Linked DNA regions of Rhinolophus ferrumequinum. The protein of the gene in region 4 purifies or fractionates together with the protein of the main gene of each other region. This does not show direct contact. Links are inferred from orthologs where the notes say so. Each region holds a gene or a part of one and is shown on either strand. Other genes may lie near its edges.

Region 1 (7,902 bases), on a different chromosome or scaffold from region 4:
TCCATTCCCCTCCCCAGGCCTCAGTTTTCTCATGTTAAGTGGGGTCTGCGTGATTGTGTAGCCGTTTCTGCGTGGCTGTGTTTGTGTGGGAGCATCAAAACTTTTGTGCCTGTTTCTCTGCGAAGTACTTTTCAGCATCAGTTTCCTCGCCTTTAAATTGGGACTGATGGGAGAGATGTGTAGGGGACTAAAGGGCACAGTCGCAAGTGGGAAGTATTATTATACTTTAATGACATGTGTGCCCCTCTACAAGAGCCTGTCTGTGCGATGTGGATCCTGTCTGCTGCCTTCCGGCTCTGCCTCTATGAATTGGATGGATAGGCTTAACTTTCTCACGAGGTTTTGCGGTGGATGAAGGGAGTTTGGCAGGAAAAAGCCTTGTGTGCAACAAGACAAGTAGATTGTGGGGCTGGGACTCCAGGATGGGGTGTGGGTGGAGGTTGTGAAATTGTGGCCTGTACGACTGGGTGAGACCCTGTCTGCGTTTTGCAGAATTTGTGTTCCTGTATGTCTCTGCCTGTGTAGCTTTGCCCATGGGTGAATATATTTTCGTGTTTTCTTGATGGGGTCTGTGTATGTTTGCCCTAGTTCGTGTCACTGTATTTATATGTCCCTTTCTGTGTGTGGTTGTATTTGTGTGCGTTCTGTCTGTTTATAGTTGACTATGACTCTGGATATCCGTGTTTGTGTGTGAATTATGAGTATCCCTCAGCAACTGTGGGACTGTGTCACCCTGTCCCAATATTATTTCTGTGTGGGCCTGTTTCCATGGCCAGCCCCCTTCCATCCCAAACTCTCCCTGGGCCCCAGTGTACATGTGGGGTGGAGGGCAGGGGGTTAGGGCTCCTTTCCCAGTTCTGCGAGGCACATGCTCGCCTCCGCAGGCCGCGGGGATGGTGCGAGCCCAGCCTGACACTGCACCTGGCCTCTCTGCAGCCTTGGGGCAGGAGGCCCATGGATCCGGGGCTGCTGAGGCCGGCGCCGGTGAGCGAGGTCATCGTCCTGCACTACAACTACACCGGCAAGCTCCGCGGTGCGCGTTACCAGCCCGGCGCCGGACTGCGCGCCGACGCCGTCGTGTGCCTGGCTGTGTGCGCGCTCATCGTGCTCGAGAACTTGGCGGTACTGTTAGTGCTCGGACGCCACCCGCGCTTCCATGCGCCCATGTTCCTGCTCTTGGGCAGCCTCACACTGTCCGACCTGCTGGCTGGCGCCGCCTACGCCGCCAACATCCTACTGTCCGGGCCACTCACGCTGCGCCTGTCGCCCGCGCTCTGGTTTGCACGCGAGGGTGGCGTCTTTGTTGCTCTCGCCGCTTCTGTGCTGAGCCTCCTGGCCATCGCGCTGGAACGCCTCCTCACCATGGCGCGCAGGGGACCCGCGCCGGCTGCTGGTCGCGGGCGCACGCTGGCGCTGGCGGCCGCCGCCTGGGGTGTGTCGCTGCTCCTCGGGCTACTGCCAGCGCTGGGCTGGAATTGCCTGGGCCACCTGGACAACTGCTCCACAGTCCTTCCGCTTTACGCCAAGGCGTACCTGCTCTTCTGCGTACTCGCCTTCCTCTGCATCCTGGCCACCATCTGTGCGCTCTACGCGCGCATCTACTGCCAGGTGCGGGCCAACGCGCGGCGCCTGCGGGCTCGTCCTGGGGCTGTTGGGGGCCTCTCGAGCCGAGCGCGCCGCACGCCGCGCTCGCTGGCGCTGTTGCGTACTCTCAGTATAGTGCTCCTGGCCTTTGTGGTGTGTTGGGGCCCCCTCTTCCTGCTACTTTTGCTCGACGTGGCGTGCCCGGCGCGCGCCTGCCCCGTGCTCCTTCAGGCGGACCCCTTCCTAGGCCTGGCCATGGCCAACTCTCTTCTAAACCCCATCATCTACACGCTCACCAACCGTGACCTGCGCCACGCGCTCTTGCGCCTCGTCTGCTGCGGCCGCCGCCCTTGTGGCCGAGATTGGGGCGCCTCCCCGCGATCCGGGAGCGCCGCTGGGGCTTCGGACGGCCTACACCGCTGGCTGCCCCCGGACCTGGATGTCAGCTCTAGCCGCTCCGAGCGCTCGTCGCCCCTGCGGGACGGGCTGGACATCAGCGGCTCCAATAGCGCGCCCACAGCCGCGGAGACCCTGGTATCCGCACCCGCACCAGCTGCAGACTGACGCCTTCTGGCCCGCCATTGCCCTCCCTAAGAGATGTTTTGCAGACTTTTTTCTTTTTAAATAATAGAATTTATAGGAAAAGCAGCCGAAGATAGTGGAGGAAGAAGAGACACAGGGAAATGTACTTTATTGGCCTTAAGCCCCACAACAATGAACAAAACAGACAAGAATCTCTGCCCTTGTGGAATTGACGTTCTGGTGGGGGCACAGGCAATAAAGGAGTGAAGAAATAATGGAGACAGTTCCAGTGACAATACAGTGATGCGAATGTGGTCAGAGGACGCCTCTCTGCAGAGGTGGTGGTAACTGATGTGAGCTGAGACGTCATTGTCCTGGGAACACCTGAAGCAAGAGCACTTCCGGTGAGGGAACCACAGGTGCAAAGTCCATGAGACTGGAACGTTCCTATGTGCTCTATAAAAGCAAGGGCCCAGGTGTGGCTGGAGCATCAGTGAAGGTGAAGGCGGGAGAAAACAAAGGCAGGAAGATGACAGAGCAGATCACTGTGGGCTCAGGGAAGGACTTTACTTTTGTTCTAAGTGAGGTGGGAGCCATGGAGGGTTCTAGGTAGAGGAGGGTCTTGATTTGGTTCAGGTGTTCACAGATCTCTGTGTGAGGCAAAGGTGTAAGCTAGGAGAACAAGGTGAAGGTGACTGCACTGGCCTGGGGGAGAGATGATGTCAACTCGGATAGATTCTGGAAACAGCGAAAAGAATTACTGAGGAATTGAGTGTGAGAGTGAGAAAGAAAGTAGTCAAGGACAGCTCTGCAGTTTAGAGGGGAGGACACCAAAGACAGGACACCCTAAAATTTGACTCTGGGAGTCTCAGCCAATTCCTATCTGAAACAAGATGTCTTTGAGAGTGGTGTCAGATTCTTCATAAAAAATGAAAATATAATAAAATAATAATAAGAATTACAGCTTATTGTGCCTGGCTAGTCGCCCCACAGTGGTAAGCTCAGGACACACCTTTTTCTCACCCTTACTGCTACCTTGCAAGGTGGGTTTCCTCACCCCCATTTGACAGATGAGGGAACTCTAAGCAGTGAGTACCTTGCCCCAGTGTCTGAGCCAGGATACTTGCCGAGGCTGTCAGGCTCCCAGGCTCAGTCCTTGTGTCTGGCTCCTCCAGAGGGGTCTGCATTCTCGGCCTGGGGCGATACCAGGGCCCCGTTTGTGCCCATAAAAGGCTCCAGACGCCCTGGCCACGGTCCCCGGCTGTCCCTGAGCGCAGTCCTGACCCCTATGCGGCCTGGACCGTTGGGTGGGGCGTGCCGCGGAGTCACTTCGGGCTCAGACTGTGGCCCACCATCTGCCGGGAGACTGCGGAACTGCAGGCAGTCACAAAGCCATGTGTTTTGGAGGCACTCACCCAGCCTGGTGGCCTGAGTTTCCACCTGCCACACTCAGGTCCCAACAGGCTACACGCACGGGAAACCAACCTATTCTTGGAACACAAACACTCAAGCCTCGGGTCACGATCCCAGGACTGGACCCAATTCCCTACCTGCCCTGGTGCCCCCAATCCCAGGTTCCTTTCATATTCCAGGGGAGCCTGAAGTTCACCCCATTGTTTGGTTACTTGATGGCGTGATGGTAGATGTATTCACTTGTTCACATTTTACAAAAGTCAAAAAACACGTCCCCTTCTTGGACATGATCACTGTGGGGATTCCTGGGAAACTTCCAGAGCTATTCTGTGGATAAATGAGCTGAAATATAAATACATCTTCCCTCTTTCTACACAATTTTAGCACTGCTCTGCATCTTGCTTTGTTCACTTAATAGTATATCCTGGAAATTGTTGCCCATCCACAGATTTTTGTATTGTTTGGCTGCCTTAGTCTGCTCAGGATGCCATAACAAACACCACAGCCTCGGTGGCTGAAACAATAGAAATTTCTCACAGTTCTGGAGGCTGGAAGTCCCAGATGAGGGTGCCAGCATGGTCGGGTGCTGGTGAGGAATCTCTGCCTGGCTAGCAGACGGTCACCTTCCTATTGTGTGCTCTCATGGTGTACAGAAAGAGAAAAAAAAGCTCTCTGGTGTCTCTTCTTATAAGGGCACTAATCCCTTCATGGGGCCCCACCCTCATGACCTCATCTAAATCTAATCAATTCAGTCCATATCACTTGTTCTTTTTTTTTAAATTTTTAAATATTGAAGTAAAGTCATACAGCAAATGTCTTGCTCCTTTTCACTGACTGCATAGTATTTCCCAGCATGGATGTGCCACCACTTGTTACACGGAGAGACCCGTGGGTTGAGTCCAATCCTTTGCCTTTATACACAGCGCTGCAAAACACTTCAGTGTACACGTATGTGAGTATACCTTAGATAAATCTCTACAAGTGGCACTACTGGGTCACAGGGCCTGTAGGTTTGATTTTCATATATGAGAGGTTGCCTTAAGGATGGTGCGAGTTTTCCCACAGCTTCCGCCACTGCCAGTATTTGCCAACTATGCTATAGCGTCCCCCGCTGGAGGGGTCCAGAACCGCAGACTCGCGCATCTGGGAAGGCGGCGGAAGAAGGGTACCCCACCACATGCTCCTGCGCGGGTTTAATCCCAGACCCTGAGCAGGGACACTGAATCCTCCAAATTCAGTCTGGAGGCTGGCGGAATTCTTTCTTAAACCTCTTTGCGTTTCCATTATTCACTTAGTTTTCATAGAGGACTCTTTGAAAAATAGCCTTAAATACATTTATTTAAATGTTAACTTTATATCTTAAACAGCGTAAGTGGCAAGTCAGTATTCCATGCCATGAAAAATAGCGATAGTTAACATCTGTTAGGCACTCGCATTCGCATTTAGTGCTCCCGGTAACCAAGGTGCTAGCATTATTACCACCTCAAAGGGAGAAAACTGAAGCATGGAGAAGTCACAGGCCCACCCGCACAGAACCAGAGAGGGTGGCAGAGCGGGCCTTCGAACGCCCCGCAGGCGAGCTCCACGCACCTCTACATTAGAGATAACTAAAAAATATAGACAAAGAAACCCCAGCTAGATAGATAATTCTCGCTGGATCCTGCGGCCGTCGACCGTGAGACCTGCGTTAAAGAGAGAAGCGCAGGTCGTAGAGAGCAGCCCCGCGCTGAGACGACGAAATAGGTCGAATGAAAGGGACAGTGCGAAGGGGTAACGGGCTTTCCTGGCCGGGGCTCCGGGCACCTGCGGGAAGGGCGGAGAATCGCGGCTCCTTTCCCGCCGCGCCCTCTCCCCGCCTCCTTCCCGGGTGTCCCGAGGCCTCCCCTCACCCGACGGTCGAGACCCCTCAGGCTTTGCCTCCTGAGAGCCGAGGTCCCCTGACAGCGGAGGTGCCCGCGGGTCCGGGAGAGCGAAGGTTAGGCGGGAGACGCCCCCGGCGGGACTGCGGCCCCTCGGGTTTCCCGGAAGCTCAGCGCGCGGGTGGCACCACATTGCCCAGAGCCGCCGCCTTGTCCCAGGTATCCCCGCCCCGCGACAAGAGCTACCGAGGCTACGCAGGGGCCGAGGTGAGCGCGGCGGCGGCGGCGGCGGCGGGGAGGAGTGTCCACTGATGCCCGGTGTGGGCAGGGACGCGTCTGGCCTCGAACCCGGTGCCCCGATTCCCGCGGAGCTGACCACGCGGCTAGGTGCGCGGAGAGCTGCGGTCCCTGACCCCGCCGCGCCGCAATGACGAATGCTGTGGTCGCGGCGCTGGGGTTGCGCAGCTTGGCGACAGCCCGCGGGGTGGGAGAGCGGGGAGCGGCCACGGTGCCAACGCCGCCGCCTGAGGCCCCGGGCCGCGGGGACTTTTATTCTGACACGGCAAGCGCCAGGCTCTGCTTAGTCATGGTGACCTGCGCGCGCTCCGCGCCTCCCACCCCCACCCCCACCCCCCAGCGCAGCGATGGAGGCGCCGGGGCCTGGGCGACGGAGGCGGAGCCCGAGCGCGGCCATGGCGGGGTGAGTGAGCGGCCTGCGCCGGGGCTGCGGGCCCGGCGGGCCGGTTGCGCCCCTGCAGTCGTGCCGGGGGGCCGGGGGACGTGGCGCCGCGGGCCCGGTGGTCTGGGGGGTTCCCGTGGCCCCCGGAAGGCCAGGAGGGCGCGGCTCGAGTTCCATCCTTTTGTTGGACGGCGCGATTCGCGGGGTGGCCCGGGAACCACACAAGCCGGACGAGAGGCCTGGGGAGAGCCGCTCGGACGGAGTCCCGGGGACCCCGGGGCGTTTGGGTGCTTGACCTGCGCCCTGGGATTGGCAGTCAAGAGGCCTCGGTGGGGTTACTTCCTTCTCCAGGCCTCGGTGGCGGCTCAGGCGGGGCATGCGCAGTCCCCCACCTAGTGCTTCGTTAGGGGAAATGCCCAGGGGGCACCGTTGACCTGTTGGCCAAAGACCAAGAGGCAGACCCGGGGCCTTGGCTGGGGAGAGGTGGACAAGCGGCGCCCCGGGCCGGGTGAAGGAGGGTGCTCTGGTAGGCACAGTGGCGTGGGCAGTCAGCCAGCCATACCTTACTGACCCATGTGCAGTGCCAGACCCCAGGCTGGACTTGAGGGAGACACATGAGAGGGTGGGCACAACCCTGACCTGCCCTCTGAAGCGCTGGGGCTCAGGGCCAGAGGGACGGGTCACCCCTCAACAGGCAAGCAAAGAGGCTTATTTCAGTTCCTGACAAGTGGGGTGATGGAAATAAAACTGGGAGGTGACTCTATGCTGAGCCCCAGAAAGATAAGGTGGAGAACCTGGGGATCCTCTTGCAGATCCACCCCCCTTCTCCCCGCAGGACCTTTCAAAACACAACTCATGCTCCAGCCCTCCAGACTCCACAGGTTTCATGGAAACCCTCCCTTCAGTAGTCATTGTCTGTCATGACACACCTCCTTGCTTCTCCAGATTGTCTCATTCTGCTTCTGAGCCTTTTGCACTTACTCTTCCCTCTGCCTGGAAAACTAATGACTGTCACAATGTTGTCATTTTCTTCATGATCTCAATTTCTACTTAAGTCGCTTATTTTATTTATGGCCATTTTCCCCTCCCTCCCCCCCCAGGTATCAACTCCAGCACAGTTTTTGTTTGTCTTGCTCACTGCTGTGTCCCTGGTGCCTAGAACAGTGCCTGGTACACAGTAGATGCTCAATAAACGTTGGTGAGGTGAATGAAGGAGTGAATTGGACATGCTCTAGGAAGGGAAGGGCTACCTACCAAACAGAGTGAGCAAAGGGGAGAGGCGGACAGGGACGGAGTCTGAAGGGCTTTGCTGGCCATTGAAGTGTTCGGTTTTACTCTCCGTGCTGTAGACAGGTGTGGGGGGATTCTGAGCAAGGGGGTGACATCATGTGACATGTTTTAAGAGGGACTCTTGGGCTAATGAGGCCATAGGACATTTAGCAAGCACAAATGGATGCAGCTTCACCTGGGCTTGGCAAGGAAAACTGGTGTAGGAGTTGCTTTATCTTAATAAAGGCCTGGCCCCAGGCCCTGCCCCCAGCCCTGTGCTCTCCCTCCTCCAGGCCCCTGAGTGCCAGTGGTGGTGTTGTCCCTTGTCACCTGGAACCCCATGCAGCTGGAATCCAGGCCTAGCAGGGCTGGGGCCCGTACCCGATTCCTACCCCTGAGGTCACAGTGCCCCGACGGGGCAGGGGACACAGTGATGTACGCCTCCACCGAGTGCAAGGCTGAGGTGACACCTTCCCAGCATGGCAACCGCACCTTTAGCTACACACTGGAGGACCACACCAAGCAGGCCTTTGGCATCATGAATGAGCTGCGGCTCAGCCAGCAGCTGTGTGATGT
Region 2 (7,484 bases), on a different chromosome or scaffold from region 4:
CATTTTTCATGCCTTTTAGTGCTAACAGGGTTGGTTCAAAGAAGAAAAATAAAATTTAAATCAATAACCATGAGGTAGGTTCATATGAATACTACATATTTTTCATTACTGGAGTGTAATGAATAGTAGTTGTATGATTGTATACATTAAACTCACAATTATTTGGAATATGAGCAACCAGGAAAAGAAAATAACCCGGTTTTGGGTTTATTTTACATGATCCTCTTTTATCAGTCATGACATGTTACTAAGGCAATTTTTAAAAAGTCATTTCTAGTGTGTTCTAAATTTGGTACATACTCGGACCAGGCAACATTTGCAGGAGTATTGTACAAAAACATCACAGTGATGAACCTGAGGCCTTTTTAAGTTTCATAATTGCTTTCCCTACATAAAACGTTTTTTTTTTGAAAAGCCTTTTCAAAAGATTTTAACATTATTTTTCATTTTTTTGTACTGAAAAGTATTTGTTGACCATGTAAATTCAATTTTACACTTCCTTGAAACTTTGCTATTATTCAGTTAGTGAAAACTTTACCAAATCTCAGTCCTTAGCCATTCTGTTCTGAAGTAGAGTTTACTACCATAACAAGGCCACATATGTGTACATTGCCACTGATGGGAGTACCTACCCCTGGAGTGTGACAGAATTTTAAGATTACTGAGAGAACACGTTTGTGGGTCATGCCTTATTTTGAATTGGAGACAGTAATAACTCTAGAAAGTGAAAAGACAGTTCCACATGTTTAGAAAGGAGGAAAAAAATAGCCCTTAACAATCATTCCCACGCCTTGAGCCTCATTGCCCTTCATTCTATAGATCCTCTCAAGCTTCTTGTGACTTGTTTTTGGTTGTAAAAGAGATGTTGTGATGTGGCATTTGATCCCCTATTGATCAGCAGGGTTATAACTTCTGGGTTTTCTGTCCACAATGCTCTATCACTATATTTGAACCAACCTTCCTGAGATGACTTTGTAAGGTAGTGTTATTATAAGCTTTATTCCTCTGCTGGCCTCTGATTTAACCTTTAGAAAACATGCGAGGGGCCTGTGTAATATGAATAGATTCCAGACCGTATTCCCACAGGACTAGTCTTGGCTATCCTGACATGGAATAAAGATTCACTATAGATCTTATTGCCATCTTTGAAGCATTATAAACTTGTCTATGTAAATTAGGTTTAGGGCAAGCCTGAGTGAATGATACTGAGTATCCGAGTTAAGTTCGAGAACATTTCATTCTAAAAAAGGCCACAAAATTTTTTTTCTTTTTGTGTCCTTTTGGGTGAGCGTTGCCTATAATCAGTGCCTTATACAGGGCTAAAATAAAGCGAGCACTGTATGTTGACTGATACCTGAGCCACTTACTGTGCGTTTGATGTACTGCCCTTGATTTAATCCTGCTGGGATTCGTATCAGTGGCCCTAGAGGGCTGAGATGTTTCAAAGCTGCGGTTTAAATGGCAAAACCACTTATCTTACTTGGGTAATGCTAAAGTATATCCTGTTTGGTTTTGCTAAAATCTGAATTTTAAATATTTGGTACTGGTGGATTAGGTTTAAAGTTCTGCTTTAAAATTAATCTCTTAATGTTTGAGGAATGCCTTTACGTTGTGGTTTTTGCAATGCAACTAGCTCACACTGTTTTTAAAAGGTCAAGTTAAACAGCAGGGACCTTAATTCAGGGACTGCTTGAAGATGAATAATACAGAGGAACTTTCGACAATGATAAGTTTTTCTGAGGTGTCATTCTCATGTGAGGTTAACCTGTATTATAGTTATCGGCATAAAACATAAAAAAGGTTTTGAGAAATTGGCACGCCTTAAAATAGATGAACAATGCAGTTTTTGCTAATGGTGCTTGCTGTGACTCAGAGCAAGGATATTCTGCTAAAAAAATAGCTTCAAATTGAAAGAACTTGGACCATTTTTTAAACATGGCTACCTTACCTAAACCATTTTCTGAAACCAAAGGATGATGATACATTTATAGTAGTACTCTTATTAAAAGACTTTGTCATACTTAGGGGGGAAAAACCCCCAGCATTTGTTTTCTGGTTTATTAGGCTATTTATTTTCTTCTCTAACTTAATATGGTACCTGAAAACAAAGCCCTTCAGTTACTGCTCAGGTAACTGTTCATAGTGACTCAGCCTTTGGGGCTTCTAAACCAAGGATTGACAATCTTTTTTTCCCTGCCTCTGCATCTTTAGCGACAACAGCATACTACCATACAAAGCTCTTATTACCTCAGCCAAAATTACTGATTTTTAAAATGCAATTTTGGTTTTTCAATTTTTTACCATCTGGACCATTTTTTTCTCTTGAAAAATTTTGGATTTTTTGATTTGAAGTATACAGTGTTCAAAATGAGCGGGTATATTGTAATCTATTTTTATTCTCCCTAAATGATTTCTGAGAACTATGCATTCACTAGATTTCTGTGTGTGATGACACAGCAGTCACTTTAACACAACCTCAGTGCACTTTTGGTTAGATATTGCCCACCAAATATCCAAGCTAAAATCAATTCCTTTGGGGATTCTAAATGTAGTTAAAATTACACAGGTCTGTACGAAAACACAAGTTATTAATAAATTTCAGTGGCTTGTTCATGATATAATTTGTATCCCAGATTATAATTGGAAACGTTTCTTAAGCTATAGCTTTTACTGGAATAAAACAATAAGTCCTATAGATTTTTAATTTAGAATTTGTCTATTTCCAGAAAGGATTGAAAGTAGCTATTATACTGGTATTAGGAAGGTCATTTACAATGTTGCAGAATACAGAACATCTTCAAGTATTTGGCTTAACAAAATGAAATTTTGCCAAGCATAAATATTTACTCTTATGACATGGTGGCAAGGCTTTTCTTTGCAGAACGTTCTCTGCTGTTTCTTACCTGCCAAAGATTCTTCCCTCATCCTCAGTATGTGACATATATTTTGGAAAAAACAAAGCAATTTAAATGATGAAGCAAACTTCTCTAGGCAAAACTGCTTAACACACAAAATCATTGCATACTTAATAGTGTTCTACGTTTTTAACTGGGAAGGGCACTAAAAATCACTGTATACTTGAGTATTTCCTCAAGATCTTTCTGGAAAAATAATCACATCTCTTATCAAGATGAAAGGCACGGAACTAAATTTTTTTTTGTCATTGTATTTGTGCTAGTATGAAATATTACAGCTTACAATTTAGCAATAAAGTACTGGGAAGGTTATTAATCGTTAATTAATACCATAGATACATTAATGCTGTTAGAAAGACATGACACTCCTGCTTTGAAGCGCTTACATTTCCAAACAGTGCTAATTTATAAGCAATGTGGAGGTGGCCCTGCCAATAGTTAGTTAATCCCTTTCTCCAAGAGTGTTCATTAGCCACACCGAGGAAGAACCTTAAGGTTTTACAAACCACCCTTAACCTAATTATCTAAATCTTCCGAGTCTCGTGATTTGATGTGGCCAAAAGATTCCTGCTACAATTTTGGTCCAGTTCTTCCGCGTATTTATGATACTCAAACCCTTTAACACCAAAAAATGTATTACTAAGCTAGGCCGATATGCATGTCCGCCAAAATGTCCGCAGAAACGTTAAAAGCTATCACAAGGCCAGTTTGAGATACCTCAGAAATGGCCTTCACTGTCCTTCGAGCCACTTTTTAAAGTAACATCCGAAGAGACTGCTAGCTCTTAGTTAAGAATCCAAGCGTGTCTCTCCAACCGTCAGAAGGGTGTGCATAGGGCAGGGAGGATTTTAAACCCCATTTCACTCCCCCGTCCCTGAGATGTAAGAAAACACCCACTATATGAAACTAGGCGGGGGAGAACTGCAGCCAGCTGCCAAAAAAGCGCTCTGCAGGGAGGTCGTTTCCCTGAGTCACGGAGAGGGCGGGAGGCTGGGCCCATCTGCCCACTCCACGTTCTCTTCGTAAGGGATTCAGTTTAAATAGGCAGGACCCACAGGGAACGGGAGCAGCACCACCATTCCTCAAGGCGGTCCAACAGCCACCGCATTCCCAGGAGACTCCACATTTCTCTAGAACTCGTTCTGCATTCTGGCAGCAATCAGCCAACCCATCCTGACCAGCATCACGTGCACCCGGAAGTACGTGGGTGGGACCTAAAGCGCCCACGGAAATGACGTCGGTCGCCCCTAGTCGCATGATGTGGCAAAATGCAAAAAAAAAAAAAAAAGAAAAAAAAGAAAGGAGGGAGGGAAAAGCCGGAGGCTGGGGAAAGTGATGAGTCCAAAAAAGTAGTCCCTTCGCTTCCTCCAATTCCCCTCATGTGTCAGCAGTAAGCGAGTCCCACAGCGCATTGCGTCCAGAATTCCTGCGCCCGCAGCACCGCGGCGCTCCGTGGAGGGGTACATAAGACGGAGGGGGTGAGGTGACTTGGGCGGAGTTCTGTCGCCGGGATCCCTCCGCAGGGCTCAGCCGTTTCCGGAGTCTGCGCTGCGCCCGGTTCCGCCATTGCGGCTCTCCCGGACCCTGGAGCCTCCGCCCCCGACCCGAGCTCTTTCGTCTGCCTGCCAGTTTCCTGCGTCCCCGGAGAGTATCCTGCTGAGCCCAGCCTACCCCCTCCCTTTTCTCCTCCTCTCCCTTGGAGAGTCCGGGCAGCCACTGCCCCGCAGCCCCAGTGACAGGAGGAGACCATACCCCCGACAGCGCCATGGCCCAGATTCTGCCAATTCGTTTTCAGGAGCATCTTCAGGTGCGACTGGGCCCTGGCTGGTCAGGGCTGTGGAGAGGGTGGTAAGGAGGAGAAAGCTGGAGTCTAGGCCAAGCAAAAAGCTGAATCGGAGGTGGGGGTGGGGGTTGTCGGTGTCCGGGGTAGATGGAGGATGGGGGCGCTATTTTGGAAAGCTTAAAGGGTTAAGTGATGTGGGGTTTGGATGGAAAGGACGAGAGTCGGGGTGCAAAGTGCCGCGAGGCCTGTCGTGGGTTCGAGGGCCTTTCTGTCTTCGCTTCCTGGATGGCAAGAACTGCGCATACTAACTCCACCCCTCTCCCCGTTTTATTCAGTTCATTCATTTGGATAGGTTGGAGCGGGGGGAATTCTCCGTGTTTCTTCCGGAGCAAGGGTTTCATCGCCTAGGTCAGTGCAGGGCTGTCACCTCCCATTGCTCTTTTTCCCCCAACGTGTCTGCACCCAGGAGTTGTAGGGCGGGTGGGTTGGGGAGGAGCAATCTTTTTCTTCCTTCCTTTTGCGGCTCTCATCTGGGAAAGGCACCTTCCCCTGGGGGTGGGGGGAACGGCGGTGGTTTGCCTCTTGCCATCCCCGAGGCAGTAGGAACAGAAGGTCACTGAAGGAACTGGAGGATAGAATGGAGGAACGTATTTCTCAGGGCGGTGTCAATCTGAGTGCGTGGGGTCAAGGTCCCTAGGGGAACTCGCCTTTTTTCCCCTCTCTCTTGAGTCCTGGGCATGGAATGGCCCTCAATCCCCTCTTTGGTTCTGGAAGGTAGGAAGGGTTATGGAGAGGTTATCTTGGGGTCTGCTGGAGTGTAGCAGGTAGTTGTGGGCGTGAGTACCTCCCTCAGGTTTGCTGGAATCAAATCAAGCCCTGAGGATAAAGCACACCTGCTCTGAGATATGCAAGGTTTTGGGCCTGTAATTGGCTTCCTTTTCGTAGGTTCTAGAATTCTTCCCCATGGTGCGTTATCCTGTAGACAACATACTGTCTTATCTGGCAACATGCCCAGGGAGGGCCCAGGCAGGTGATCATTGGAAGGTTTGACTGAATTAAGCCTTTTCTGAGCTGATTTCCCTGGTTCACCAATCCTGGTTTCACTTTGGCTGAAATAATTTATTAATATTAATGTGCTTTCTTCCGAAATACCCCTTAAAGAGGCTTGCCTCAGCTCAATCTTCTGAAGAGCTAATTTCACAATGATAAAAGAGACTGGTTTGACATGACACTAATACTAGTGACCTATTGGCTATCGGACACTTTACCACTAGAAGGCTAATTTTATTTACTTTTTTCCCATTGGTATAACATACATTAAGGATTCTTGTTAATAAAAAGGTTTAATGTATCAGTAACATAATTTCATATTTCTTTACAGGTATTATCACCTTTGCTTGCATCAGCAAGAAATTCTTTTCCTTTTAAGTCTTGAAATGTAATGAATAATCTTTACTCAGAAAATGAGTTAAGTAATGCCTTTTCTTCAATCATCTATGGTTTTCAGATAACTTATCTGAAGTAATGGAACACTATTTTACAAAAGGTTAAAAAAATGTTAAGTGACCTAATGGACACGGAGAAGTTATTGTTTATGCTCAATCTAAATTTTAATTGCTGTGCTTACTTCTGTTCAAGTGGGGTGTAAATGAATGTGTAGGTTTAGGGGAAAAATGTCCTTGGGTGTGGGGGAAAACACAGGCTTCTCACACTGAAGTGCATATGATGTATAATCTTTCTGCAGACAGAGGTTTGTAAAATCATACACAAGAGAAGCAGGTATAGTTGCTGATTACAAGGCAGAAATACAGCCCACTAGTAAGTCTTATTTCTTAACTAGTGGTGGTTTGAGCAATAGCTTGTCACACCTAATTAAGAAGAAACAAGAATTGTTAAATAATCCCAACGATTGGAATCCAACCTTTTAACTGATTGAAGACAGGTTTAATGTGAAGACGGTCTGATATCTAAAGTATTTGAAATTTCTGCAAATACTTGAGTGAAGCCATTTTCTTCTCAAATAATTTGAAGATTTGAGCATAAAGCAGCTTTGTAAATATACTTGAATAATTTAGTCATCCCTTTTTTGGACTAATATGCCATGCCTAAACTTAAGCTTGCTACTGTGACTTTGTACTCCAACTGGTAGTGATTAGTTGTGCAAGGATCCCCAATCACCAACCTCTTCCAGGAAAATATACTCCTGACTTCTCATTTTTATCCCTTCCTTTTTTAAAAATAAATAAGAGTTGTTTTAATTAGCATTTTAGGTCTTTGACCTCTGAGTCCTGCCAGTTTGCTAAGTAGCAGAAAACTTTCTGAAGCACGTAGGATAAAAATTGGGAACAAGAATTGAGGAACTTGAGTGTAGAGTTAGCTTGTGAAAGGTAGACTGTAAATGAATTTATTTCTATACTATGTAACTACTTTGGCCAACTGAAGGATCTATCATCAAGGCTTGAAATTGCAGCAAATAAATAATAATATTTTAAGTTATGAAAGATTTTTTTTTTCTCTTTTAGGATGTTTAGGCTGATAGCAGTCAACAGATGAGTGCCTATTTGAGACATTGCTAGAGTTGCAGATTCTAAAAAAAACAAAACCTTAGGCTACATATAAAATGTTGCCTGCAATTCTTAATTCTTTGCACATTAAGTATCTTTATGTCAATGAACACATTCCACTGTTTACCAGGTTTCTCAGGTCTGTAATTAAAAATCTCCACTCTGTTTTCTTCCCTTTGATCCGTAGACTCAGGCATGGAATATGTTGTGAGTTGAATGGTA
Region 3 (7,629 bases), on a different chromosome or scaffold from region 4:
CAAAATAGTGATTAGACATCATATAACTTATGAAGTGATCACCCCGATAAGTCTAGTACCCATCTGATATCATACACAGTTACTTCAATATTATTGACTATATCTCCTGTGATGTACTTTACATCCCCGTGATGGAGTTTATGTTTTACAGCAGGGATTGGCAAACCATAACCTGTTTTTGTATGGCCCAACTAAAAATGGATTTTACATTTTTTAGAAGGTTAAAAAAAAAAGGAAGAATTTGTGACAAGAAACAATATGTGGCCCTCAAAGCTGAATATATATACTCTCTGGTCCTTTACAAAAAAAGTCTGCATAACGACATGTCTGCATGTGACCTTGGCAAGGGGGACAAAAACCAGACTGCAGGTTATTGAGGAACATAAGGGAAGTGAAGAAGGGATAGGGCAATTCTTTCATGACGTCTGGCCATGAAGTAAGAGCTTCAGGAGGACATGGGAGGAAGAAGTTTGCTGTAAAGATGGAAGCAATATGAGCATGGTTAAGCACAAGCAGGAAGAACCCACTAAGAGGAAATGGATGAAAATACGGGAAAGACAAGATGCTACCGAGCAAGGCCCCATTACATACACAAGAAAAAGAACCCCACTTTGGAGGTAACAGGAAGGCAGAAAAGGGAGATCGCATACAAGTTTGTAAGGCCGCATGCATCAAGGTGAGGAACATACCAGCTTATGCCTTGTTTCTCTAATTACCTGCTGGCAGTGAGAGGGAGTGGCAGGATCAGGGATTTAAGGACAAGGTGGAAGTTCTGAAATGTCTGCCGTGAAGGGAGAGTGTGCAGGCTAGATAATAAACAAGGAGTGCAAAGCAGCCTTCACACTGGTTAGTGCCAGAAACCACAAACCACAGATTTCTACTCTCATGGCCTGTATGCCACAAGCCACACATATTTTCCAGATAATAGAATATGTCCCTTCAAGGCATTATGAACTTTGATGGGTATTTAAAATGCCTTAGTGCTTCCCTACCTTTTGAAAAGAATGTATTTTGACAGTGGCTAAAGCACAGGCTTTGGAGTCAGAGACCTGGTTAGAACCCAAGCTCTGTCACTTACCAGCTGTGTAATTTTACCTGAATTACTTAACCTCTTCGTGCCTCAATTATCGTGAGTTAAATTAAATGAGATTTCTAAAATATACAGTATCGTGACTGGCAAGAGAAACAGCTCAATAAATGATGACTATATTATTCTAATAGCAGTAGTAGTATTTTGCTGTTCTACATAACTGGCAACAGGCTTGGGTCAGTGGTAGAATGGAGCCCAGGAAGGAGATGGGTGTTTGGGAGACTTCCACCTCCACACAACCAGCTATATCACTAACCGAGTAACCCTGGCAGGATACTCAGGTATCAAGTTTTCAATCTGCGGGATGGGGGCGATTTGAACAGTCACTATAGACTCCCAGGGCCTTTCTCGTTTGGATATAGAGTTAAAAGTGCACTGTGTTGTGAAAACACGACCTTTCAATCCACCAAATTCCTTGCTGTATAGCTGTGTAGTCAAAAAGACCCAAGTCTGAATCCTTCTCTTGTTCAATGAATGACTGAGGACAAGTTACTCATTTAACATCTTGTGCCTCAGTTTCCTTCTTTAGAAAACAGGGGAAATACTGCGTATTTTATGAAGTGTAATGATTTAACATAAAGCACTTAAGAAAGAGCTGGTAGCTACTATTCATCTAGCCCCATCTCCTCACCTGTAAAGTGAGAATCGTATTACCCTTCACAGGTATGACACCTGAGTGTATGTGAGCGGAGCGCTGTGCCCAGTGCTTGTACCGAACTTCGTTCAAACACAGGCAGCCAATCTTTCTTTTCCTCAGGCACAACTATATCAGGAGAGTTATAGATAGAAGAAAGTGGGACCTCATTAAAAAGCTAAACTTCGAGGGTATTATTATCGTATTGAAAGGATCTTCTGAAAAAAACACTATGATTACTTTTCTTCTTTGGTCACACAATTTGAAGATCCTCTCCCACGAGGCCACACTAGCGACTCTGCAAGTCAACAGACGCAAACTCCGGCGTAAGTATCACGAGATGCAAAAGGGAAATTTTAGGATTGGACACAGGTTTTGGAGTTATAAAGCTTGGGATTCGAATGCATGCGCACCGCTAGTCAGTTAAAGCTTTTCAAAGGCACTACGACAGGTTTCGGCAGTTTATGGTTTCCATCACTCGGCACTCTGAGCATTCCCGAGGTCTGAGTCGCCCGAGAAGGGTTACCCAGACCGCACCCCCAGAGCCGACAGTCGCTGCGGGATAACGGTTTCCCGGGACGCGGCCACCGCGCCCGACACCCACCCGCCTGCCCGCCCCGGCCATTAGGCTCCCGAGCCGCGCCGTCTCCACTGGAGTCGGTTGGGGGCCGCCGGCCGGTCAGCGGCGCCGCCGGGTCCCCCGGGAGGTCGGGGACGCGGCTGACAGGACCCAGCGCGAGACCCGCCCTGGAGCCCGCCCGCCGCTCCCTCGGTGCGGGAGCTCGGTCCTCACCTGGAGGTGCTCCTGGAAACGGATGGGGAGGACCTGCGCCATGGCGGACGCGGAGCAGAGGAGGGGAAAGCGACAGCTCCCCTCGTGTGGACAGACCCGCGGACAGGCAGACGCGCCGACCCACTGACGGGAGGCAGCGGCAACAGAGGTCGCAGCCGCCGCCGCGCAGGCGCATTGCCTGGGCTTCGCCGCACGTACCCCTTCCGCGTGAGAGTGCGCGGGATCCCTCCGCCCGCCTTCCGAGGGTCCGCGAAAAGTAGTCCGCGCGTAGCCTTACTTCCGGCACCCCAAGCCAAGGCGAGTCTGTGCTGTCCGGGTCTGTGCTCAGGAAAGGTGAGCACCGGAAGGTGGACTCGGGCTCTGACTGCAGTGGGCCAATGCCCAGGACAGGTGTGTGTGGCGGAAAACTAGGCGTGGGCTGCCCTCAGTAAATTCCGTGAGTGACGGGGTTAGAAGAAGAGGTAAACCAAGTTACCAGGCTGCTCTTGCCTAGAGCCGTCCATATGTAGAAAAGTTCTACCTCAAACTCTGGACAGTTGAGTTCAGAGGCACTTTTTAAAATTCAGGCACAGATGTGCCCAAAACACCGCCAAAGGAGTCTTCGAAGTATGTGACAGATGTGTTCCTGAGCAAGGCTCAGCCCCCGCTCCTATAGGAAACATCTTTCCGGGTTCATTCGTTTTCTAGAGAATACTGTGTCAGAATATCAGTGCGACGAGTCTGCAAAGATAACATACACGGTAGCAGCAGATGACCAACCAAAAGCCAGTGAGAATCACCTGGGTTGCCTGTGGTCGCACAATACATAGCAGTAGCAAGTCCGGAACTAGAGTCCACACCTGCCTTGCCCAGCAGCCAGTTGTTTTCAGAGGCACCATTTGAAGATGTGTTTTGCATATAGATGGCTCGGCTGCATAAAAGATGTTTGTCAGGCAAGGGGAAGCTTTTGGCATTCTGCGTTGGCACTCTCACAGAGTAATCGCTATCCTCTACTGTTTCAGGTTGCTCAGTGGTCATTTTAAGAAACGAATGGTCCACCCTGAATAATACAGCGATGCAATTATTTGCACATTAACTTTTCAATATAGTAGCCAAAAATGTTAAAGAGAACACACTGTTCACTTGCAAATTAAATCTCTTTTCCAGTATTACCTCTGCAGACTGCCCTTTCAACATCTGTGTGGCCTCATCACCTAACAATAGAGCCGATTTTTGCTGTGGGTAACACTACATTTCTCTATCTTGGCAATAATGCCTATGATCTCAAGTACCCTTTACCCCAAACATATAAATCCTTTAGTATTAATAGTATCATTCCCTAGATCACCCACCCAGGGCTTTTTTTTGGGGGGGTCAAAACTAAAAATTTACACCCCAGAAGAAAGGAAAATAATGCATAATCAAAATGGTAGGATTGCAAATAAGTCAGAACTTTGCCTGGTGTCTATATTTATAAAGGAACTAAACATTCTTACCTGAAAAGGGTCTTAATATTCTTACCGTTGCTGTGTGACTTGCCAAGTAATCCTGTCAAAAGTCTTTCAATTCTTTGTGCTTTCTTAATCTTCACGATAGAAATGATGAGATCCTACAACTCAATAAGACCACCAACCAAACAGAAAGATGGGCAAAAATATATGAACAAATAATACATAAAAAAGAAATACAACTGATTCTTACACATGAAAAAAATGCCCAACTTCGCTCATAAAAAAGGTAAATTAAAACCATACTGATTATGTATCTCTGTATCTCTCTATATATACATTACATTTATATTATGTACTTTTTCTACCTATCACATCAGTGAAGGACAAAACTTTGATAACTGTGTTGGCAAGAAAGAGAACTTCATGATAGCTGGGCACAGACACTTTAGTATTCCACCCAGGGTATCTATTCTACAGTCTTTCTTGCAGACCTTCTTCCTACAAATAAAATTCCAAGGAAAATGTGCAGCTCATGGTAAAAACAAAACAAAACAACAACAACAACAAAATAACACTCAGGAAAACAAAGCACCACAAGAAAGAACCAGGAGAACTAAAAGGCAGATACAGACTCACAAAGATTGAAATGATGAAATTATCACACACAAACAGACTTTAAATTAGTATATTTATTTTTTAATTATTGTTTTTCAGTTACAATTGACATTCAATATTATTTTATATTAGTTTCAGGTGTGCAGCGTAGTGGTTAGATATTTATATAATTTATGCAGTGATTCCCTGCATTAGTCTAGTACCCACCTGGCACTATACACAATTATTGCAACATTATTGACTATATTCTCTATGCTGTACTTTGCATCCTCATGACTATTTTGTAACTACCATAAGTTACTATATTTAATATGTTTAAAGAGCTAACTGGCAAGCTTAAAAATACATGCTGGGGAACAAATACATGCAGGAAACCTGAAACTATAAAGAATGACCAAGCAGATTTAAAAATGAACCAAATAGAAATTCTAGAAATGCAAATGTAATAAAGTACTGTAAAGCTTGGTCATCACATACTAAGTGGGACCAAAATATCTAATCATGTTGTGAGATAAATAAAATGAGAATAGAGGAAGGACAAGGATGGGAACTACATCAATAAGAATCCTTCAGGAGACAGAAACCACGCCAGTTATTTAACAGAGGGACTGGAGTATAAACAATAGTTAACATAAATAAAGCTGATAACTAGGCAGCTGGGAGGGTAAAACGAGAACCCCAAGTTATCATGGATGTACAAGTATAGAAAGTAGCTACCATCCCTACAGCTCAGGGATGAATGGGATGAAACTAGAAATATTTCAGTTTAGAGGAAGAGCACTACAGCGCTGGAACTCAGGCCTCTGGAAAGAGAGTCTCTAAGCCTAGAGGAGGGTTTCCATGGGGTAGGGACGTAGACCTCTGAGAAGTGTCCCTATGAGACTTAGGTGCACACTGCTGCTGAGGGGCTGTGGGGCCAGGTCCCAGACCTCTGAGGAGGACGTGCATTGAGGCTGGTTATGCAAGTCTTGGAAAAATTTCAGACTGGATTCAGCTTCTTCTGTGGGAAGAACCTGCTCTGACTTGTTGAAGAGTGTAGCTGGGGTGATGTCCACAGGAGCAGACCCTGCAGTTGCCCTCCAGCATCCCTATGGGCAGGGAGTTTCTGCCAGTACAGAAATATAGTTTAAAGAGTCTTAGTGCCAGCACCATAAAGCAGTTTATAGATGGGGAAAGGAAAATAGAACTGAAAGACAAACTTAAAAACCGGCCTAGGAAACACGTTATAGCTAAATTCCAATTCTCATGGGGTTTTCCAATACATGAAATTAAAAAGTCCATGGATAGCTTCTGTTTCCAGAAAGCATCAGAGAACTAACAAGGCAGAAATAATTATGGGGTCAATATCCAAGAGAAAAGAAGAAATGAGAGCGGTTAGCCTGGCATTTGGGATGCTTTTTCCTGAGGGATATCTGCCAATTCCAGAGGAGTGTCAGAGAAATTAGGGTTCTGGGCAGCACTTTTAACACACTCAGAGACATAGGAAGACAAAGTTTGAAGTCTGGGGATCACCCAGGAGAGACCCTAATGTTTTGCTTTTGGAACACAAATTGTTTGGGACTCCATTCAAATCATGTCAGTCCTTGCCAGCAGCAAACATAAATTCTCTTGGGAGAGAGACAACCTCATGATAAGCCTCAAATTATTTCATATGCAATGATCAGCACTCAATCAGAAATAAGTAGGAATCCAAGAAGATAGGACAAATGATTGTAAATCAAGAGAAGTAACAAATAGATCTATAGAGGATTCAGATAATGGAGTTTTCCCAAAGACTTTGAAAGGACTATGCTTAATATGGCTAAGAGAATAAAAGATACGACTGAGAATTTTATTAAACTTTAGAAAAAGAGGGTGGCTGGTTAACTCAGTTGGTTAGAGTGTGGTGCTAATAACACCAAGGTTACCGGTTTGATCCCCACATGGGCCACTGTGAGTTGTGCCCTCCTTAAAAATAAATAAATAAAAATAAAAATAAATAACAAATAAAAAAGGAACAAAATGGAAATTCTAGAACTGAAGACTATAATCGAAATTTAATGAATAGTGTTTGTTAGGTTATATACAGCTAAAGGAGGAAACTAATGAAGTTGGAGTTAGGTCAGAAGAATATATCCAAATTAAAGCACAGAGAGAAAAGTATAGAAAGTACAAAATATAGATAAATATAGAGGCTACAGTAAGGACTAACATACATGTAATTGGAGTCCTAGACGTGGAGAGGATGAGACAGACACAATGTCCGGAGAGATAATGGCTTAGAGCAGGGGTGTCCAAACTTTTTTCAATGTTTTTCACCAAGGGCCATATGCGGTAAAAATACACAAACAGCCGGGCCACTCACTCGAGGTGAAGTACGTATTGCCTCACCTGGTTTATTTAAGTAAACTAAATATATTTTTGGAATTTGTTGTGGGCCAATTAACAATGGATCATGGGCCGCAGTTGGCCCATGGGCCACAGTTTGGACACCCCTGGCTTAGAGTGTTTTGAAAATTGATGAAATAGATCAAGCCTCAGGTTCAAGAAGAATTACTTCAATCAGAATTCATAAAAAACAAACCACATTTGGGCATATCATAGTAAAACTGATGAAAACTAAAAAAAAAAAAAAATCTTAAAAGCAGTCAGAGGGAAAAGACAGATTACTTTTGAATGTCGAGCGGGGAGAAGGAGGAGGAGGAGGAGCACACACTAGAGAGGGGCTAATTGATTATTTATTTAGCAATCTTCACTCAATCCAGTTAGCAGTATACCATGGTAAAAGTCAAAGGCAATTAATAGAATATGTTGATGTCAGAAAGTAAAGGTGGTGAAGACTAAACTATATACATTGATACCGCTGTCATGTCAAAGGAGTAATCCCAAGTTTAAGTGATATGTTTACTAAGCATATGTTTACTATTGATCAAAAATCACTTGGCTAACTACACAAATAACATCAGTAAGGAGTATCCAAAAACAGTAATAAGCTTATAGGATAGTAAGTATTACAGTAGATGTCAAAAGTTCACCAAACCGGGGGAGAACAACACTGGAAAAGTCATAAATCAAAACCTTGCCAAGT
Region 4 (6,240 bases):
GGCCATGCTTGTGCTCAAATAGGCCTGGCTGGGCACAAGGCTGCATGGACTTCATGGGGTGGGAAGGCCAGAAGCTGGGCCAAGCCCTCGAGCCGGAGGTGCCAGCAGACAAGTCCTTAGAAGAGGTTCAAGTCCAGTGTCACGAATCCTGGCACCAAAGAGGAGCCAAGGCTAGCAGCAAGGTCTGTGGCACCTTGGCTGCCAGGAGCACCTCCACTTGGACCCCCCTTTTGTCTCTCTGCACACCAAGGAGCCCCCTCCCAGGCAGGAAAAGGGAAGAAGGGTGAGAAGGGTTTGTTAGGTTGTGGGTACTTAATAAATGGTTTTTGTTATGAAGACGTGGGCTTGGCCCCTAATACTGCATTGGTACACTTCACAAGGATGTGGGTTTCCAGAATGAACCCTAAATCCACAGGATCCAAGTATGTGCACTGGCGAGCCAAGAATAGCATGAGACAGCCCCACCAAGAGTCCTCCCCACCCCTCCCAAGCAGCTGGAGGCAAAGGGCCAGGCAGGCCTGAGCAATCTTTATTCTGCAGAAGGACAATGCCCACAGATTCATACACCATGTGAAGGCCAGGTGAGCCAGGGGCCAGACCTTCAGGGGTGGGTGGGTCCAGGCTGGGGACAGCGCCTCGAGTGGGGGAGGGGCAGGTGGACAGACAGGCAGGGGCCTAAAAAAAAAACAAACAAAAAAACGAACCAGACAGAGCAGGGGTGCTGGGGGCTGCTCCCCACCCGCCAGCACCCAGAGGGACAACCCTAACATGACTGGCTCAGGATCTACCCAGGGCAGAGATGGAGTGGTTGGTGCCCCCAAGGGGTGGCATCCCTGCCCCGACCTAAGAGGCAGAGGCAGCTCAGTGCAGGAGCCAGGAGCTCCCTGGGCAGAGCCTGACAGGGCCCCCCACTCCCAGGCCAGCCCCCCCTACTGCTGGCTCAGAAGCCGAAGGTTTCCTGGGAGGCGTAGACCATGTAGAGGAAGCCATCGTCATCCTTCTCCTGCTCATAGATGTCCGCGATGGGCGTGGACACGCTCACCATGCTGTGCTGGTTCACCAGCAGGAAGAAGGCCTGCGTGGGGTTCAGCTGCAGGCGGCGCCTGCGGTGGACAGGAGGCCCTGGCTGCTGGGTGGGCGCAGCTCAGATTTCCCCCAAATGATGCCCAGCCTCTGATTCCCACGCATCCCAGCCCCATCTAGAGGCTCTCACCTGACGCTGACCCCAGCCCTGACCTTGACCTTTCCCACCCTCCCCAGAACAGGTACCCAACGCCCCATGCCCTGCCCCACCCGAGCCCTTCTCAGGACCTGGCCCACTGCTTGACCCCAGCAGGACCCGAGTCCCCCCTGACAGTACTGCCCACGCACCGGATTATCTTGACCAACTCGCTCATATTGACATGGTCCGGGACCAGGAACTTGGTCTTGTCCAGGACAGGCAGCTGCTTCTCACCCTTGTAGCGCTCAATGATTACCTGGGAACCGTGTGGGGCGGCAACGCGTGAGCCCGGGGCGGGGCCTGGGGCCGGGCGGGGAGCTTAGGGGGCGGAGGGACTCACCGGGATCTTGCTGGGGTGCTGGTCGCGGATCTGCTGCACCTCCTTACAGCGGTCGGCTGCGGAAGGAGGTCGGGCAGTGAAGCTGGGCCCTCTTCGCGGCTCACTCCGCCTGTCCCAGAGGTGTGGCCCCTCCGGCCCTACCTCCCCAAAGCCCCCACCCCTGGAGCCGTCGGGCAGGCCGGGGCCCAGGCCTGAACCTGCCTGCCAGCCTGGGGTCCAGCTGGAGCCTGACGTCACCGGGCTGACGTCACCTGCGGCAGCCCTGTCGGTCGCGCCCCCCACCCCCCCACACACACTGTCGCTGATTGCCCGCCGGGCCTCACCGAAGCTCCGCCGCTGCTTGAAAGGCCGGTCCGAGGGCATCTCGCGGGCCCGGCGGGCGCACAGGCCGAGGCTCCGGGGCGCACGGCGCGGGGATGTGGCTGCGGTTCAGGGGTTCCGGGGGCTCTGTACCTCGCGCTCAAGGGCTCCGGGGCTCACGCTGAGCCCGGCGGCGGAGACTCGGGGAGGTAACTCGCCCGGGTGACGTCAGGTCACAACATTCCTTAAAGGGGAGGCCGGCGCGCCACTCCCATTGGGCCGACGCAAAACCCGCCCGCCCGGACCGTGATGTCAGGGCGCAGAGAGCCTGGATTCCCAGCGCGCACTAACTATGAAGGGCGGGGGCTCCCAGAGCACGTCACAGTCCCATGATGTCATGGCCTGCGCGGGTCTCTCTCCCCCTGGCCCCGGCTGAGCAGAGCCTGGAAAGCCTGGACTCGCAGGCCAGACTGCGGCTCAGCATCCTCTATTCCTGCTGTCACTGTCATGTGACAGCGCACACTCGAGTCTGTCAGTTCCAAGACAGTACGAGTGCTGAGAATGACAGCAGTGAACCAAAAGTCCTCCTCGCCTTCATGAAGCTTATGGTTAGAGAAAGAAAAAGGTGGGGTGGGGAAATTAAAACATGAAAGAGCAAGGCCCTAAAAAGGAACATAGAGGTTTAAAAAAGGAATTTCTAGAATTGAAAAATAGAACTATTGAAATTCACATCGCAAAGAATGAGGCAAGAAAGCAGATTAGACACAGCAGAAGAGAATCTCTCTGAATTGGAGGATAATCAGAAGCAATTAAATAGATAAAAAAGGTGATGGGACGGAGTATAAAAGAGGAAGTGACTGGAATGGTAAAGTGAGAAGAATGCCCATGTCCAGTTAGAGTTCCAGAGAGGAAAGAATATAAGAGAGGCAGTTCCTGAAGAGCTTCCAAAATTAAAGACCAGGATCCTCACATAAAATCCAGAGCAGGATAAATAAAAATAAAAGCATTTAGGTACTTTTTAGTGAATTTGCAGAACTCTAAAGACAAGAAATTAGATGGCAAAATGGTGAGCAATTAAATTGGTAAACATGTAAGTCATCTAAACAAGCACTTAATTGGAACATGACTAGTGATGATTAATTTGTGGAGTGCAAAACAAGGAGCACTGAACACAGGGCCAGGTAAGACTGGAGAGGGTAACCAGAGTTCAGCATTCTAAGAAGCTTGATTTATAGGAGAGGAGGAGGAAGTTAATGATAATTGTCTAGCTTTGTAAAGTCAAATATGTATTTCAGACATTTAAGAGAAATCACTAAAAGAATAGAAAGTATAACTGCCAATGCAGGAAAAAAGTTAGTAAAGGGTATTAAAATATGGAAGGCAGAAAAAAAGAAAAAGGAGGCAAAGTAAAAAGAAAGGATTATAAATGGCGCATAATCAGAGGTAGAAAATGTTTTATATTCACCTATTAAAACAGATGATCAGATTGGCCAAGAAAAATAAAATGCAGCTCTAGGCTGTTTACAAGAGGACATTTAAAACCTTAGGGCACCAACAGTGAAAAGGTGGCAAAAGGTATACTTCAGAAAAACTAACCAAAAGATATAAGAAAATCAGACCAAATAGGCTGTAAGGAAAAAGATGTGCTTAGGGATAAAGAGGGTCACCACAAAATGGTTAAAAGAACAATTTTCTAGGAAAATACAACAATTCTGAACTTGTATGTTAGAAGTTTAAAAAAAGTATTGAAAATGTATAAAGCAAAAGTAACCAGATACAAGGAAAAATGGCCAAATCCTCCAGCAGGGTAGGAGATTTAAGTAAGACCTCTTTCAGTAACTGAAGACCAAACAGTCGAAAAAAGAATATAGACGATTTTAATACTATCAATAGTCCTGATCAATGGACCCTGATAGAACCCTGAACCCAATATGTTACTTTCCAGCACACAAGAAACATTTACAAAAAAAAAAAAAAAAACCTAACTAGGAGACTCCAAGAAATTTCTCAACAGATATCAACTAATCGGTTTCATATAGACCATATTCCCTGACCACAGACATGAGCCAAGTAGACTCCAAATGTTTGGACATTTAAACATTCTTCTAAAAAACTTACTACTCAAAGATGAAATCATACAGAAATGAAAATTATTTAGATCAAACCAAAAATGAGAATAAAATAAAAACTCCGAGCAGCTAAAAGCAGCATTTAGAAGATTTATAGCCTTGTTATATTAGGTAAGAATACAGGAAATTTATTAGCAGTGTCAAAGAATTTTAAAAAGGAATAACAATGTAAACACAAAGAAAGTTAAGGATGATAATAATGAAGAAGAGAAATTGATGAAATAGAAAACAAACACTAGTATGGACCACAAAACAAAGCTAGATCTTTGAAAAGATCAATAAAATAAAATTAATTTCAAAAGGACATAACTATATATATCAGAAATGACAAAAATAAGATTATATAAACTTCATGCCAATAAGTTTAAAATTTAGATGAAATAACAATTTTCTCAAAAAAGATAATTTGCCAAGACTAAATGAAAAAGAAATAGGCAAACTGAGTAGCCATATACCTCAAAAAGCCAACTAGTCCAAATGGTTTCCTAAGTGTTCTCCCAAAAAAATAAATAAATAAAAATAACCAAACTTGGAGCAAACATTATACTTAATGGTAAAATACCACAGTATATGGTAAAATGTTAAGCATTGTTCCCTTCAAAGCCAGGAACAAAATTTAAAATTTTTTCATCAAACAAAATGCAGTATTATATGGAGGTCCCAGCCAGAGCACCAAGACTAAAAAAAGAGCAAAAAGAGCAAAACTATCATTCACAGCCAGAATAACCCAAGGAATCTACAAACAATAAAAGATTGCCAACACCGTGTTTCATACCGAAAATAAGACCTAGCCAGACAATCAGTTCTAATGCGTCTTTTGGAGCAAAAATTAATATAAGACTTGGTCTTATATTATAGTAAAATAAGGGTCTTTAATTATGTTAGATAAGACCCAGTCTTATTTTACTATAAGTAAAATTATATTTTACTATAAGATCAGATCTTATCTAACATAATAAAAGACCCTTATTTTACTATAAGACCAAGTCTTATATTAATTTTTGCTCCAAAAGACTCATTAGAGCTAATTGTCCGGCTAGGTCTTATTTTTGGGGAAACGGTAGGACGGCCGGATGGCTCAGTTGGTTAGACTGTGAGCTCTCAACAAGGTTGCAGATTCAATTCCCTCATGGGATGAGGGGGCTGCACCCCCTGCAACTAAAGACTGAAAATAGCGACTGGCCTCGGAGCTGAGCTGCGCCCTAGATTGAAGGACAATGACTTGGAGCTGATAGACCCTAGAGAAACACAGTGTTCTCATATATATATATACATATATATATATATATATACACACACACATATATATGTATATATACTCATATACATATATTCTCATATATATATATTCTTTTATATATATATAAAATATATATCTACACATATATATAAAAGAATATATATATGTGTAGATATATATATAAAAGATTGCCAACTAATAAAGTTAGTTTTATTAGTTTTATACCAAGTTTTAGAGGAATATGGGAACTTTTTACGCTGCTTATGGGAGTATAAATCTTTTCAGCCACCCTGGAGAACAATTTGGCAAAATCTATCAGAACTGAAGATGCCCATATTTTACAAACCAGGGATTCTACTTTCGAGTGCACGTGAGCCCAAAGAAACACAGGTATGTTTAGTGGAGCATTTTCATAATAGCAAAAAATTGCGACCGCCTAAATGTCCAGTTAAATATCGTGGTGTATTTCTATAACAGAACAACACACTGTTATAGTGAAAGAGGAAGAGAAGGAGTCAGCAAACTTTCCCTTTAAAAGACAAGACAATAAATATTTTTGGCTTTGCCAGCCATGTGGCCCTGGTAACCACTCAGTCCTGTTGGAGTGTGGAAGCAATCTTAGACAACCAGAGTGGGCATGGCTGTGGCTATTTGCTAAAACAAACTTGACCCTAGGGCCTTAGTTTGCTGACTCTTGATCTACAGATATGTGTGTCAAAGTGGACAAATCTCACAAACACAAAGTTGCATGAGACTAAGTGTAATAAGAGCCAATAAGAGCAATGGAAAGAACTAGGCTGGCCATGGCCTTGGGGAAGTGGTTACACCTCTCTTTTGTCAGACTAAGCCCTGGGCTGAGGCTGCAGTGGGGGAGGGGCCCATCCCCCAAATCTCAAAGTCTGTGCTCACTCTTCCTCTTACCCGACCAGTCAGCAGACTAACACCTCTCCTTCAATCCTCTGGTTTCTCTGCTGACTGCTTCCTCCTCTCCCCCTTCTCTTCTGAATCT

Evidence for each region.
Region 1: the proteins of MAP1LC3A (region 4) and KEAP1 purify together in Homo sapiens (affinity purification with mass spectrometry; 3 studies listed by BioGRID and IntAct, with this or other methods). This does not show direct contact. The link is inferred for Rhinolophus ferrumequinum from reciprocal best matches to the Homo sapiens genes MAP1LC3A and KEAP1.
Region 2: the proteins of MAP1LC3A (region 4) and CLTC purify together in Homo sapiens (affinity purification with mass spectrometry; 3 studies listed by BioGRID and IntAct, with this or other methods). This does not show direct contact. The link is inferred for Rhinolophus ferrumequinum from reciprocal best matches to the Homo sapiens genes MAP1LC3A and CLTC.
Region 3: the proteins of MAP1LC3A (region 4) and CLTCL1 purify together in Homo sapiens (affinity purification with mass spectrometry; 3 studies listed by BioGRID and IntAct, with this or other methods). This does not show direct contact. The link is inferred for Rhinolophus ferrumequinum from reciprocal best matches to the Homo sapiens genes MAP1LC3A and CLTCL1.

The regions. Positions count from the first base shown.
Region 1 is NC_046301.1:39,781,861-39,789,762, forward strand, and holds the start of KEAP1 (kelch-like ECH-associated protein 1), read left to right. Parts: upstream 1-4,897; 5' UTR 4,898-5,494; intron 5,495-5,839; exon of another isoform or gene 5,840-6,078; intron 6,079-7,619; 5' UTR 7,620-7,666; coding exon 7,667-7,902. Other genes in the region: S1PR5 (sphingosine 1-phosphate receptor 5), read left to right, coding at 769-2,108, 3,206-3,335. UniProt on the Homo sapiens protein: Substrate-specific adapter of a BCR (BTB-CUL3-RBX1) E3 ubiquitin ligase complex that regulates the response to oxidative stress by targeting NFE2L2/NRF2 for ubiquitination.
Region 2 is NC_046304.1:26,489,107-26,496,590, reverse strand, and holds the start of CLTC (clathrin heavy chain 1), read left to right. Parts: upstream 1-4,467; 5' UTR 4,468-4,680; coding exon 4,681-4,722; intron 4,723-7,484. UniProt on the Homo sapiens protein: Clathrin is the major protein of the polyhedral coat of coated pits and vesicles. Two different adapter protein complexes link the clathrin lattice either to the plasma membrane or to the trans-Golgi network.
Region 3 is NC_046308.1:23,904,258-23,911,886, forward strand, and holds the start of CLTCL1 (clathrin heavy chain 2), read right to left. Parts: upstream 3,006-7,629; 5' UTR 2,560-3,005; coding exon 2,518-2,559; intron 1-2,517. UniProt on the Homo sapiens protein: Clathrin is the major protein of the polyhedral coat of coated pits and vesicles. Two different adapter protein complexes link the clathrin lattice either to the plasma membrane or to the trans-Golgi network.
Region 4 is NC_046306.1:20,672,419-20,678,658, forward strand, and holds MAP1LC3A (microtubule-associated proteins 1A/1B light chain 3A), read right to left. Parts: upstream 2,362-6,240; 5' UTR 1,926-2,361; coding exon 1,886-1,925; intron 1,619-1,885; coding exon 1,563-1,618; intron 1,479-1,562; coding exon 1,372-1,478; intron 1,104-1,371; coding exon 941-1,103; 3' UTR 508-940; downstream 1-507. Other genes in the region: PIGU (phosphatidylinositol glycan anchor biosynthesis class U protein), read left to right, coding at 1-22. UniProt on the Homo sapiens protein: Ubiquitin-like modifier involved in formation of autophagosomal vacuoles (autophagosomes). While LC3s are involved in elongation of the phagophore membrane, the GABARAP/GATE-16 subfamily is essential for a later stage in autophagosome maturation.